Saccharomyces cerevisiae S288C: one gene and its partners. The protein of the gene in region 2 interacts with the protein of the main gene of each other region in a biochemical or structural test. Each region holds a gene or a part of one and is shown on either strand. Other genes may lie near its edges.

The links. The genes of interacting proteins can lie anywhere in the genome.
Region 1: the proteins of RAD18 (region 2) and RAD6 form a complex in vitro, tested with the Saccharomyces cerevisiae proteins (12 studies listed by BioGRID, with this or other methods).
Region 3: the proteins of RAD18 (region 2) and UBC9 form a complex in vitro, tested with the Saccharomyces cerevisiae proteins (2 studies listed by BioGRID, with this or other methods).

The regions. Positions count from the first base shown.
Region 1 is NC_001139.9:391,545-395,412, reverse strand, and holds RAD6 (E2 ubiquitin-conjugating protein RAD6), read right to left. Parts: upstream 1,428-3,868; coding exon 909-1,427; downstream 1-908. Other genes in the region: GEP7 (Gep7p), read left to right, coding at 1-447; protein kinase PKP2, read right to left, coding at 1,715-3,190; YBP2 (Ybp2p), read right to left, coding at 3,423-3,868. UniProt on the Saccharomyces cerevisiae protein: E2 ubiquitin-conjugating enzyme that accepts ubiquitin from the ubiquitin-activating enzyme E1 and transfers it to a E3 ubiquitin-protein ligase.
Region 2 is NC_001135.5:229,252-234,247, reverse strand, and holds RAD18 (E3 ubiquitin-protein ligase RAD18), read right to left. Parts: upstream 2,749-4,996; coding exon 1,285-2,748; downstream 1-1,284. Other genes in the region: GTPase-activating protein SED4, read left to right, coding at 1-1,123; HCM1 (Hcm1p), read right to left, coding at 3,244-4,938. UniProt on the Saccharomyces cerevisiae protein: E3 RING-finger protein, member of the UBC2/RAD6 epistasis group. Associates to the E2 ubiquitin conjugating enzyme UBC2/RAD6 to form the UBC2-RAD18 ubiquitin ligase complex involved in postreplicative repair (PRR) of damaged DNA.
Region 3 is NC_001136.10:334,976-338,978, reverse strand, and holds UBC9 (E2 SUMO-conjugating protein UBC9), read right to left. Parts: upstream 1,493-4,003; coding exon 1,455-1,492; intron 1,345-1,454; coding exon 909-1,344; downstream 1-908. Other genes in the region: SYO1 (Syo1p), read left to right, coding at 1-707; PEX19 (Pex19p), read left to right, coding at 1,702-2,730; isocitrate dehydrogenase (NADP(+)) IDP1, read right to left, coding at 2,858-4,003. UniProt on the Saccharomyces cerevisiae protein: E2 ubiquitin-like--protein ligase mediating SUMO/Smt3 attachment to septins and PCNA. Seems to be involved in degradation of S- (CLB5) and M-phase cyclins (CLB2).

The DNA.
Region 1 (3,868 bases), on a different chromosome or scaffold from region 2:
TTTCCTAAGTTAAGTGGTAATGACTTAGATTTATTGGATTTTGCCATAAATGAGAAAATGCGAGGAAACTGGAATGATCTAAAGCAAGATTTCATTCAGTTGTGGTACTACAAGTCATTTGGCTTTCTTGGACCTCGAACTCAATTTGTCCTGACAAACTCTTCTCCGTCAGTTAGGTCCCAATTCTTGAAACTTCCATTCATCGAATATAATTGGTTTCTCCTACAAAATAACAAAAACGCAAATATACTACCTGCTGATGTGCAAAACGTGGTCAAGGTGTTTCATCTTGATGATAAAAGGTTTACTTGGAAGAGCATAGATCCATTCAGCAAAGCTATAATTTCATTCGTCGTTTTTGTTTCCATATATGTGTGGTTGGATGAAAGTGCAAAACAAAAAACGAAGGAGCTGCCCGCACAGAAGAGTACTGTAATATCAGAATAAAAAAAAATGGGGTCACTCTTCATTCTTGCAGTTAAAAGTGCCACTCACTCATGATTTTTTTTTTTCCTGTTTTTTTGATTTTTTTTATATATTATACATTAAGTTATCTAAGTAAATATATTCTTTCTACTCTAAATAAGTATTCCTTGAATCAAACACAAAAGATACGGGTATCGGCAGTTATAACCGATAACAAATTGTCCTTATTTCTCATTTCACGTTATTTTCTCCAAAGAAATTTATGGTAGAGCAGTGTTTCTTTTTAGTATATTATTTATATGCAATGTTTCTATCATTATTAAATTTTCTTTACGGTATAAAGTAGAAGATGGAGGAATAGAAAGCAAACGGATCGATAGAGAAAGAAACTCACGATGAAGCCCTATATTTGATTGAACAAAAAGGTAATCGAATTCATAATATCGGCTCGGCATTCATCATTAAGATTCTTTTGATTTTTCTCAGTCTGCTTCGTCGTCGTCGTCGTCGTCATCATCATCATCATCATCGTCCATATCGTCCATATCATCCTCCCAAGATTTCTCTACCGTCTCCTTAACTCTTTTGACGTACTGTGATTTATGATCTTTGAATAATGTTGCAGCTTCAACGTTTGCTGGCGAAGCTGGATTTGGATCGTTGAATAAACTTTGAATGGATGTCAATATGGATGCGACATCATATGTTGGAGTCCATCTGTTCTGCAAAATATCCAAACAAATTTCACCATTTGCATAGACATTGGGATGAAACATTTCACTCAAAAATTTGACATGCGGTGGCTTATTGGGATATTCTTCATCAAACTCCAACAATAACCTAAAAGTTCCGTCTTCATATGGAGTATCGGCTGGCCCGATAATCATGGCGTTCCATACCATGACGTTATCAGGTAATGGTGAAGCAGATACACCCGGTGGGGCATCTTCCTTCATACGTTTAAAATCTCTCATCAACCTTCTTCTAGCTGGTGTGGACATGACGCTTTATCTTTTAGTCTCTGTCTGCCTAAAAATAATCTTTGGAATTCGATCTTCGTTGATTTTCCACTCTACTATTTATGTCATCAACTCTGCAACTTGATAGTTCTTTCCTTTTTTTCTCTTACACATTCCATTCGCTTTCATTTTTATTTTTCCAGCTTTCTACTCCGGCTACCCGGAGGTGCCTTTTTGTATATACATACACTAATCCGGGAAATGTAGTCACCATACTAATATTCCGAATATGTATTTGTTCCTTGGTATATAGTGTAAGCATGGTTAGCTCACACTTTATCTAATTGTAGTTTCTTCGTATGCTTCATCAAGTTGCCTAATTTTAATACAACATCGGTACCATATCCAGGCATTGAATGCAATGAAAGGTCGCCGTTCCAATATTCAGCATACACTTTACACATGGCTAACCCAATCCCAAGCTTGTATCTAAAAGACCGCTTTAACAATTCAATTAGGGGAGTTTCATATTTGATGTGCCCATTTATGATGCTAGGATAACTCATTGGTTCTAGCGACGTGTGCATGTACGGTTTTAATGTTATTGACTGCAATGACTTCAGTTTGGAGTTATATTTAGTATGGGAATGTACTTCGTCATAAATAGATACTGTTTGTAAACCAGGTAACTTGTGAAAATTATTTAGGGATTCTTGAGCCCTTTCTTTCGATTTACCGAATGACCATAGATTTTCATCATCATGGAGGACGCCCCCAGCTTTATCTGAAATTCTAAACAAATAGGATTCATCGTTACTTACTACAGTTACTATGATTGGTTCCGGCTTTTCTAATCCCTTACGAATATAGTGTTTCATGGTTGCTTCGTAAGTATTTCGAAGGATCTCCCCTAACAAATACTTCAAATGTGTAGGCAAAAAGTAAAAGCTTAGTTGAGTGTCACCTTCGATAATAAATTCTGGCATGGGAATGTCTTTAAAGTACATATCTTGGATAAATTTTTGAGATTCCTCACTGGCTTCCAATAAATATTTTTTAGCGCTACATTCTTGAAAAATATCACCCAATACCAAGGTATTTTCCTCCTTACCACTAGTGTAGTTGGCTGTGATACTGACGTGTTCCTCTACAATCAATCTTCTTGATATTCGAGCTCTTAACAGATCAGATAGTAGTTGGTCCATTTTTTCACGAGGATAAAGATCCAAAATTGTACATTCTAAAGCCCCCATTATCAAATGTGGTAAGTTTAGAGTATTGAAGCCTTCTAGCATATTTTTGATAAAATCTGCAAATTGAGAAGCGTCCTCTAAAGTTCTTATAGTCGGATATTTTCTAAAGCTTTCAAAAATATTGTAATATGACTCATAAACTTGAACAAAATGGAAGTTGTTCACAACATTAAATGGAAGTTGTTGCAATTGATTTAATTTATGCGCGATCCTAATTACCAGTTCTTCTTTTACAAATTTCCCGGAATTGATGATCTTGGTTCTGGTCAGCTTGGTAGAATCGTCATAATATTGCGCTAACTGCGTTAATGATACTGGATTTGGACTTCGTTTTAAGTAATTTTCTACTAATACCGTTCTATTATGATAGTAATGCTGCGGATTGATATATTCGGAATTTGAAGGGTATGCCTTCATGGTTTCCATGATGTAAGGTGCCAATTCTTCATTTACGGGACCAATGCAGTATTTCGTGAAATCAGGGATCTGCGAGATATTAGATGTCCTGAGAAAGTGCCGGTATCTTATGCAATTAATTTGATACTTAGACATAATTACAGAACTATTTATCCATTGACCAATCTCTCACGATCTTCATCTTTTACGTACTTTCTGGGTTCCAATGCAAGTATCCCATCCCTTCCCTTTTTATTCCTTGACGATCGGGCGATGAAATCTGAAAAAAATGAAAGTTTGGATGACTCAAAACATAGTGTTTCCCTTTAATAGAATAATTCGATTTACTCGGGAACAAAAGAGAAGAGCAACTAATTTACTATGTAGTTTACGAGCGTATGTTCATCTCTTCTATATATTCTCCCAGAGTATTATTGGAAATGTTGATGAATGCTAATTCAGGCTCACCTTCTCCTTGAAATGATTCGGAGATTTCTTTATTGATGAGTGTTAACAGACCCAAATCCCATTTGTTCCTTAAACTAACAAAAAATTTCATATATGTTAGTACCAAGAGTAAATCACCTTGCGTTCTTTTCTTTTGCTTGGCGGCAGAAAAACATATTAAAGCAATGCTATGAATGGAAGCCATGCGATCTTCATTAATAGTGATGTAAGGTCTTGGAGGTAGAGTTGGCATTATCGGTACACTATTAGCGGTATTCCCAGGATTCTGTTGTTCGATTAAACCGACAGTTTCGTCACGATTAGCAGCCTCAGGAGATCTAATCATCATATCTCTTAGAATGTCAAGAACAGCAATCTTTGCAGTTA
Region 2 (4,996 bases):
ATCAGAATTAGAGCGTATGGTTGAAACACCTACGCATTCTATTTCTATAGCATCCGAATTTGACTCAGTTGCGTCTAATTTGATCCCAAATGAAGAAATTTTGTCAACATCAGCATCCCAGGACTCTATTTCCTCGCATCCGAGTACATTTTCTGATTCATCTATAACCTCTGGCTTCCAGTCAATAGAAGTATCGACTGTAACTTCTTCTGTTCTTGCTTCTGAATCAATCCCTTCAATCTCAGATTCCACTTTTTCTAAATTTCATTCCATCTCTGAACCTGTTTCATCAGCTATTGTGGAGACGGCAACTAGCTCATTCTCAAAAACAGAAACGAAGACTTCGAGAGTAATTGCTTTCTCTACCGAGGATTCAGAACGCTCCAGTGCCTTGATTGATAATTCGGAATACACCAGTGTGTTGGCTGACAATTTGGAACCCACTAGTGTTTTGGCTGACAATTCGGAACCCACTAGTGTTTTGGCTGACAGTTCGGAACCCACTAGTGTTTTCACTGATGCTGTACAATCACCTAAGACGAGTGTTGGTCAATCTTCCCTATCAGAATCCACAAATATTGAAGGGACTTCTATGGCATCTATGATCTTTAGTAGTAGTGGTGCTTCAATTGGCGCTCTGTCTGATATAGGCAAGGGAACTTTATCCGTGGAGAGCGCGTCAAGCACAGTAGCTCAGCCGATGCCAGGTGTAACCACAACAGCACCATCTTTTGTAAGTAGCCCTCACAAAATATCTGCTAGTTCAATTGATGCATCAGGATTTGTACAGAAAGAAATAATGATAGAAGTACAGTCATCAAAAGATTCATCTGAAGCGTTTGGGGTACGCCACAAAATCAGCGAAAATGTAAATACTCCTGTTTCCCGAATGCTTACGACGGAAATGCAGGCATCTGGTACGGTAGATGTTACCGAAGACGTCTCTCTATCTAGTGAAGTTATTTCAGCACTTAACGTGGAGATCACTTCTTTGCCTAATCCAGTGGCCCCTCCGCAAACAATTGCAGCACCTTTGAATAATAATTCGAATACAAACATTGTCAACGATGATAATGCAGTAGCAGGAACCGTAAACTACGCTGGCCTTCATGACGAATTGTGAATAACGAAATAATATATATTAATGTTAAATATGATTACATAGCTTTGTGCACATATCTCTATGTCATCTTTTATGCATTTATATTTTGCCCATTTTTAAATAAATTATTAATTAACAAATGTGCACAAGCTAACAAACAGGCCTGATTACATATACACACCTTAATTGTTACCGGGTGGGTCTTTACTATATTCATTCAAGTCCATTAATTCTCTTGATAAGTCAGCATCAGTTGAATCTTCGTTAGGCAAATTTCTTTCACCAGCAACTCTATCTTCGTTGATAACAGTGTCCTGATCCTTCTCCATTTGCTGATCCTCGGTTCCCTGGTCACTTTGAACTTTTTCAACACCATCTCCATCATTAGAATGTCCCACTGAACCTGAACTGTCCGATGAACCTGTTTTTATTTTCATTTTTGCTTCCCTGATAAGCCTAGCAAAATCCTTCCGAAACATAACCATCCATCCTTTCCTATTAAATTTATCGTTTTTGAAATTTTCAAGTAATTTCCTATATGAAGAAGATTTCCCATTACTCTTCATTATCATTAATTTAGAAATTCCACCCTTGTTGCTACTATTTTGGGGGGTTTTATTGTGTGAAACATCCCAGCTTAACAACTGTCTTTTTAGTTCAGCTTCATCAACAGGTTCTAGAGAATCACAAAAATTAGAATTCCAAAGCATTTCGTAGTGATTGTATCTTTTAATCATGTTTTGCCTAGTACCATTAGTTGACAGTCCCAACGATGACAGTTTTTGTTTTATTTGGGATTGAGTCATAGACGTAAAATTGATCTTCGGCAATCTTTGGTGTTCTGCACTCATCATTGAGTTTAAATACTTATCCACATGTGAGGTCTCACCACATGAGCTTTTGTCGACTTCTGGAGTTCGTACCTTGAATCTGGATGAACTTTTGTTATGTGGATTTGACTCTGTAGGGAAAGTGGTAGAAATTTTTGGTTTTTTGCCTAGTGATTGTAAAGTTAGGCATTCATCCAAATGTGTTTTTTCAAGGGCTTTAAGAGGATAAAATTGTTGACATATGGGGCACTGGGCCATTTGTTCATTTGGCTTTGATTTTTTCTTGATACGTTCACTTCTGAACATTGCAAAATTCCTTTTGGATGGTTTGGAACTCAGTGGTAATATATCAGTCATGGATCTTTTGGCAAGTTTTCTTTCACTTGTTGCAACAATTTGCAAGTCATCATCAGCGGCATTTACACTGTCACTTTCAGACTCTGATATGAGTTCTATCCATGAAGAATTTTCAGGACCTGGTACTTCCTCATTCTCAGGGACAGGGGTAGGCTTCGGTATCCTTAGTGCATCTAGTAAGGAAGATCGTAGGGATGTATAACTTTGAATTATTTCACTGACCAGGAACTCACTTCTCAGCAAGGACTCTCTGAACTCGAAAAGGCAGAGAGGACAATTTGGTTGGTTATTCAAATGTGTTCTAATACAAAGGGAACAAAATGTATGGCCACAAGGTGTTAAGACGGGGACTTTTAGAAAATCTTTACAAATGTGACATCTCAAAAGTGTATCCAATTGGTACAGGCTCGGTATTGAAGTAGTCGTGAAGTCGCTTGCAGTGGTTATTTGGTGGTCCATGAGTAGTAAAAATGGCCTTTTCTTAGTAGCTGTGATGCTCACTTGCGGATGGTTTTTCTTCTAATGTGGCATTGCTCAAGTGGTACTTAGTTTTTCACTTTCTATTGAAAAATGCAAGGCAACGGGGCAAGTAAAAATAAAAGAGATCAAAAAGGTAAGTGAAGTGAATGGAAACTTCAGCTAAATACTGTATTAAAAATCCGTAAGGATCAAAAATAAAGATATGTAAAATATAAAACTTAGAAAAAAAATTTGTATCATTTTTGTTATGATTACAATTTTTTCCTGCCTCTTCTGCAATTGATTATACCATAGAAGAGCGGGAAAAGAAGTTAGTTGACCCGACAATACAATAAGATTAAAAAGAAAATGCTATGTGATATGATAACTCCAGCCCAGTTTAGGACTCATCCAACCGTTTGCGATGAATCCATCAGATTAAGAATAATTAGTTTTCGGTGAGGAAAAGAAAATGAAAAAAAAAAAAAAAAAAAGTCAATTCTTTTCATTACCGCTATCGTTGGAAGGGTGATTATGATAAGGATGATGTTTTTGATTGCTATCCGTAGTATTGTTACCATCAGAAATCTTTTCAGTTGCGCGCTTCCAAACAGAATAAACATCCACGCCAAACAGCCCGCTTGAAGCAAATTTGGAATTCGTTGCGCTTGTGAGGACATCGGGTGCAGAGGACTTTCTTGGTGAAATTTGGGTTTCCAAAGTGCCCCCCGGCGTCGTGATATACCTGATTGGAGTCTCTATAGCTCTAAATAGCGGAGAACAGTACAAATCTTCAAAAAGGTGTGAAGGAGTCTGCCATTTCCTCAAAATCGAGTTACCGTCCTTAGGTGTGCTTATCAACCGCGATGGGGTTTTCTCTAAGCCATCGGAATGCCTCATCTTGGGTGTTTTAAGTAAGTCCGAACCATGAGAGGAAGGTGGAGGTGGAAGTTGAGAATTGGAATATGATTGCTGAGATTGTGGTTTCGACATGAGCGCAAGATTTTTCTGATCGTACAGCTTCAATGGGGAATACGGAAGTGGGTCGAGTAGAGAACCAGCCCCTACATTACTTCGAAGTGGAGATAAATCTTCAAAATTTGAATTGAATGAGGTGAAATATTTTCTGAAATTCTGAGGAGACTTTGCGCTAGTTATAGGGAGTGTATTAAATCTATTTGCCTGGGTGATATTATTGTTTTTCACACCCGCCTGGAAATGATCTTTGGCATTCACCAGCGACGGTAAGCCTAAAGAAGTATGATATTTCTTCATGACATAAGGAGGTTCCAAGGAATCTATATTGTTGACATCGTTTTCTATCATGTTCCGCATCGATTCTAGGTTTTCGTGAGGGTTCAGTACACTGTTGTCTGTTTTCAATTGCGGTATGTGATGTAACTGGGAAACTCTCAGTATAGGGGAGGAGTTCAATTGAATTTCAATGGAAGGGAATTTCCCTGCTTCCTCTCTTTCTTCCTCGTCAGGAAGATCATCATTGCCTTCTCCACTCTCAACTTGTTCTAATTCATCAAGTGTAGAATCTATTTCAAAATACTTCCCAATGTCTTGTAAGGAGTCCTTTACAAATTCATAACCACGATTTTCACCTTTGAAAAATTTTGTTTCGGCACCCGGTCTGACCTCCCAGAAATGACCCTTACCATCGCAGGACTTTTCAGTCTTGATGAACGCATCATTTAAAGACAAGTTATGTCTTATTGAATTTTGCCAACTAGCATCTTTCTGCTTGTAATAAGGGAAGTGAACGTGGATCCAATGATATATCTGGGATAGCGTTAGCTTTCCCTCCTGAGATTGCAAAATGGCCAAGCAAATCAAAGTTGCATACGAATATGGAGGTTTCTTGGCGAGTTCACCATTTATTCTTCTTCTTTCCAAAGATTGAAGAATTTCTTCCAAGGTTAGGTTACCATTGGACCGAGCGCATGTGTCCGATCTTTGGCGCTTGGCCTTAGATGGAGCAATTGGGGACGAGTGATCCGGTGAGAGGGGATGCGACGGCCTCTTATTTACTTCCTTCATTGTTTTTCTCACAGTTGAGCTCGGGGGAGTAATCATTTCCTTTTCGTCTTCTAGTGTTCTCTTGGCTTGGGTTAATAGCACGGTGCTTTTTTCCGTTAAAAAACTATTATGGCCATCAATGATGGATATGTCTTCATTCATCATTGAAAAGTTGGAATTTTTGTTGATTTTTTTTTTTTTTGCTTCGAAATAAGAGGTAGTT
Region 3 (4,003 bases), on a different chromosome or scaffold from region 2:
CTCACGTTTTCATGATTTTGAAAGATACCTTCACCTCGCGAATATTGATCGGATGGAACAATCTGATCTGGCTCTTTGTGTCTCTATCTCTAACAGAGCTCTCTGGAGAGTTGTTAACCACCTTATGGAGTTATGTTACACAGTTGGACAGCCAAGATGATTTGAGTATTAAAATAGGAAGAATGGGCTGTATTTGGGCGCTTCTGAAACTCATCTTTCCTGATGGAGCGTTTGAAAGTGAGAATCGAGCATTGATCAATGTCCAAATGCTGAACAATTCAGGATTCGCTAGGGGAATTATTGAAGAGTTCCAAAATAATAATGACCTTGAGTTACAACAAAAATGTATTAATGTACTAAGCACATATGCTATGATTCAGGGACAAATTGATGCAAATAAGGAGATTGGGCAGTTCTTCATACAAACTTTAACACAGTTGAATGTTCGCCCTGAAATTTTGATAGAAATGACAAATTCGCTTTTCCAAATTTACGGGGATGCCTCTTACGACTATAATGAACCAATATTTGTAAGGGGTGGATTTTTATCTATTCTAAAAGACCAAGTTGTACCAAATTTGAGGCAGCAATTCAAAATGGTTGATAAAAACAAAAATCCCGAACTAAAAGAAAGATGCCATGATTGCTTTACTACGTTGGATAGTTTCATTCACTACAAAATGAATGAAAATTCTACTAACCAATAGATTTATTAAAGTGTATATAGTTGCCATACTTATAGAAAATGGTACAAAAAATATCTTTCTATTTACTTAGCATAAGAAACAAAGAGCAAAAAATTATTTTTGAGAATTTGTAAATAATGTTATTTTGCTCTATTTTTGTTACACAACGACATTAGTTAAATAAAGTACAAAAGGAGGAAGAATGGGAAAGATGGATTCCCTCTATTTAGAGTACTGTTTAGCTTGAAGCAAAACTTTCTTGTCATATTCCGCCTTATTTCTTGAAAATGATCTCCATGCAGGCTCTTGAGCAGGGGAATTTGGATTTGGAGAGTCTAAAAGATCCTGAACCCCAAGAACAATTTGTTTTAACGTGATGGCGGGTCTCCAATCTTGATCTTCATTTAAAATACTTAAACATATTGTGCCACTTGGATACACGTTTGGATGATAAAATCCGGCTGGAAATTTAACCTTTGGAGGTTTTGAAGGATATTCATTTGGATATTCGACTGTAATTGGGTACACACCACCCGCCCAGTTTGTACCTTCTTTGCCTGGGATACCAGCTTCCCATTTCTGTAAATCCATGGACCCATCAGCTTTCTTAACTGGTTTGGCATAAAATCCAAATGGATGATCCTTTCTCCATTTTTTTCTGTTATTCAAGTAAAACAAGTTAAGTTCATCGATTTGTTAGTATACCGCTGGATGAAATTGTGTATGCCTACAGAATGTAAGCATAAAAGGAGGAAAACTACTACTTACCTTTCTTCCTGAAGACGCTGTAGACACAAACTACTCATATTGCTTCCAAAAAATGGTGCCAGTGTGTGCTTATCCTATGCTAAATTTCTCTTCTTTTTTTAAATGTTTGTTATGGAGACAGGAATAATTTTTAATTTCCAGATGTTAAACGCGGTTTCTGAGAGATATAAAGTGAAGAAAGAATTACAAATTGTGGGAACCGAAGTATTGACGGAAAGAAGAAATGCCAAACATACAACACGAAGTAATGAATGAAAACGAGTACGATAATTTTGATGATTTGGATGACCTTTTAGATGAAGATCCCACTAAACTGGATGAAGCAGAGCCCGATGATGTGCAAGCGAAGGGTTCTGTGTACAACGATAGTGAAAACAAAGAGAAGAATGCCGAAAGTAAGGACAGTGATGGCGTACAGGTAGCTAATGAATCTGAAGAGGACCCAGAATTGAAAGAAATGATGGTAGATTTGCAAAATGAGTTCGCAAATTTGATGAAAAATAACGGTAACGAGAATAATGTGAAGACAGAAGATTTTAATAAACTGATTAGTGCTCTAGAAGAGGCAGCTAAAGTACCTCATCAACAGATGGAGCAAGGATGTAGTAGTTTGAAAAGTAACAGCACTGATAAAGGGACCGTGAATGGTAGCAATCCGGGATTTAAAAACATTGTTTCCAATACGCTAGACAGGTTAAAGGAAAATGGTAATAAAGTTGATACATCCCTAGCCGAAGAAACCAAGGAATCTCAACGCAGTGGCCAAAATAATAATATTGATGATATATTGTCACAATTATTAGATCAAATGGTAGCATCTGGTGGAAAAGAAAGTGCAGAAAATCAATTTGATCTAAAAGATGGGGAGATGGACGACGCAATAACAAAAATACTTGATCAAATGACGTCAAAAGAAGTATTATATGAGCCTATGAAAGAAATGCGTAGTGAGTTCGGTGTTTGGTTTCAAGAAAACGGTGAAAATGAAGAGCATAAGGAAAAGATAGGCACCTACAAGAGGCAATTTAATATCGTAGACGAAATTGTAAATATTTATGAATTGAAAGATTATGACGAGCTAAAGCATAAAGATCGTGTTACTGAACTTTTGGACGAATTAGAACAGCTTGGTGATAGCCCTATTAGAAGTGCGAACAGCCCCCTAAAACACGGTAATGAAGAAGAAGAACTCATGAAAATGTTGGAAATTGATGGTAATGATCCGAACTTGGGGAACCTTGATAAGGAATTAACCGACGGTTGCAAACAACAATAAGGTATATATATTTATGATAACAGTAAAAAAAAAAAAAAAAAAGTAGTTCATTATCCTAGAGCATAACTAAGTATAACACTTTAAAAAATGAAAAAAAAAAGTGGTAGATTGGGCTACGTAAATTCGATTACTCGATCGACTTGATTTCTTTTTGTAGTCTTTTTTCAACGGCATCCAAAAATTCTTCTGTGGTAACATAAGCAGATCTTTCGTTGTTACCGCAAGCCAAAGCCAAGTCCTTCGTCATGATACCGTCTTGCTGAACTGTGTTCAAAGTGGCGGATTCCAAAATATTGGCAAATTTACACAAAGCAGGAGTATTGTCCAATTCACCTCTCTTCAATAGACCTCTCGACCACGCGAAAATGGATGCAATGGAGTTTGTAGAAGTTTCTTCACCCTTTTGGTACTTTCTATAATGTCTTGTCACGGTACCATGAGCAGCTTCACTTTCGAAAGTTTTACCGTCTGGTGTAACTAAGATAGAAGTCATCAAACCTAAGGAGCCAAATCCTTGAGCGACGATGTCAGATTGGACATCACCGTCATAGTTCTTTAGCGCCATGATAAAGCCACCTTTAGATTTTATCATTTGAGCGACCATATCATCAATTAAACGGTGTTCATAGTGGATCCCTAGTTGTTCGAATTTGGATTTATATTGAGCTTCATAAACTTCTTGGAAAATGTCTTTGAACCGACCGTCATATTTCTTCAAAATAGTGTTCTTGGTTGACAAGAAAAGATTTAGCTTTTTGTCAATGGCCAGCTTGAAAGACGAATGAGCAAACCCTTCGATGGATTCGTCAGTATTGTACATGGCCATGGCCACACCACTGCCCTTGTAGTCATACACTTTCAAAGTTTGTGGTTGAGCAGTCGTAGGGTCGGATGGCTTGTAGACCAGTTCCAAAGATCCTGGGCCTGGGATCAGTGTGTCCGTAGCTTTATATTGATCACCGTGGGCGTGTCTTCCAATAATGATTGGTTTTTCCCAACGTGGGACCAGTCTAGGAATTCTAGGAATCACAATGGGCTCTCTGAACACTGTACCGCCGAGAATGTTTCTGATGGTACCATTAGGAGATTTCCACATCTTGTGCAGGTTGAATTCCTTCACACGAGCTTCATCAGGAGTGATGGTGGCACATTTGATACCAACACCATACTTCTTGATCGCCTCAGCAGCATCCTGAGTAATCTTGTCGGAGGTGGCGTCACGAGATTCGACAGATAAGTCGTAGTACTTCAAATCTACGTCCAAGTAGGGTAG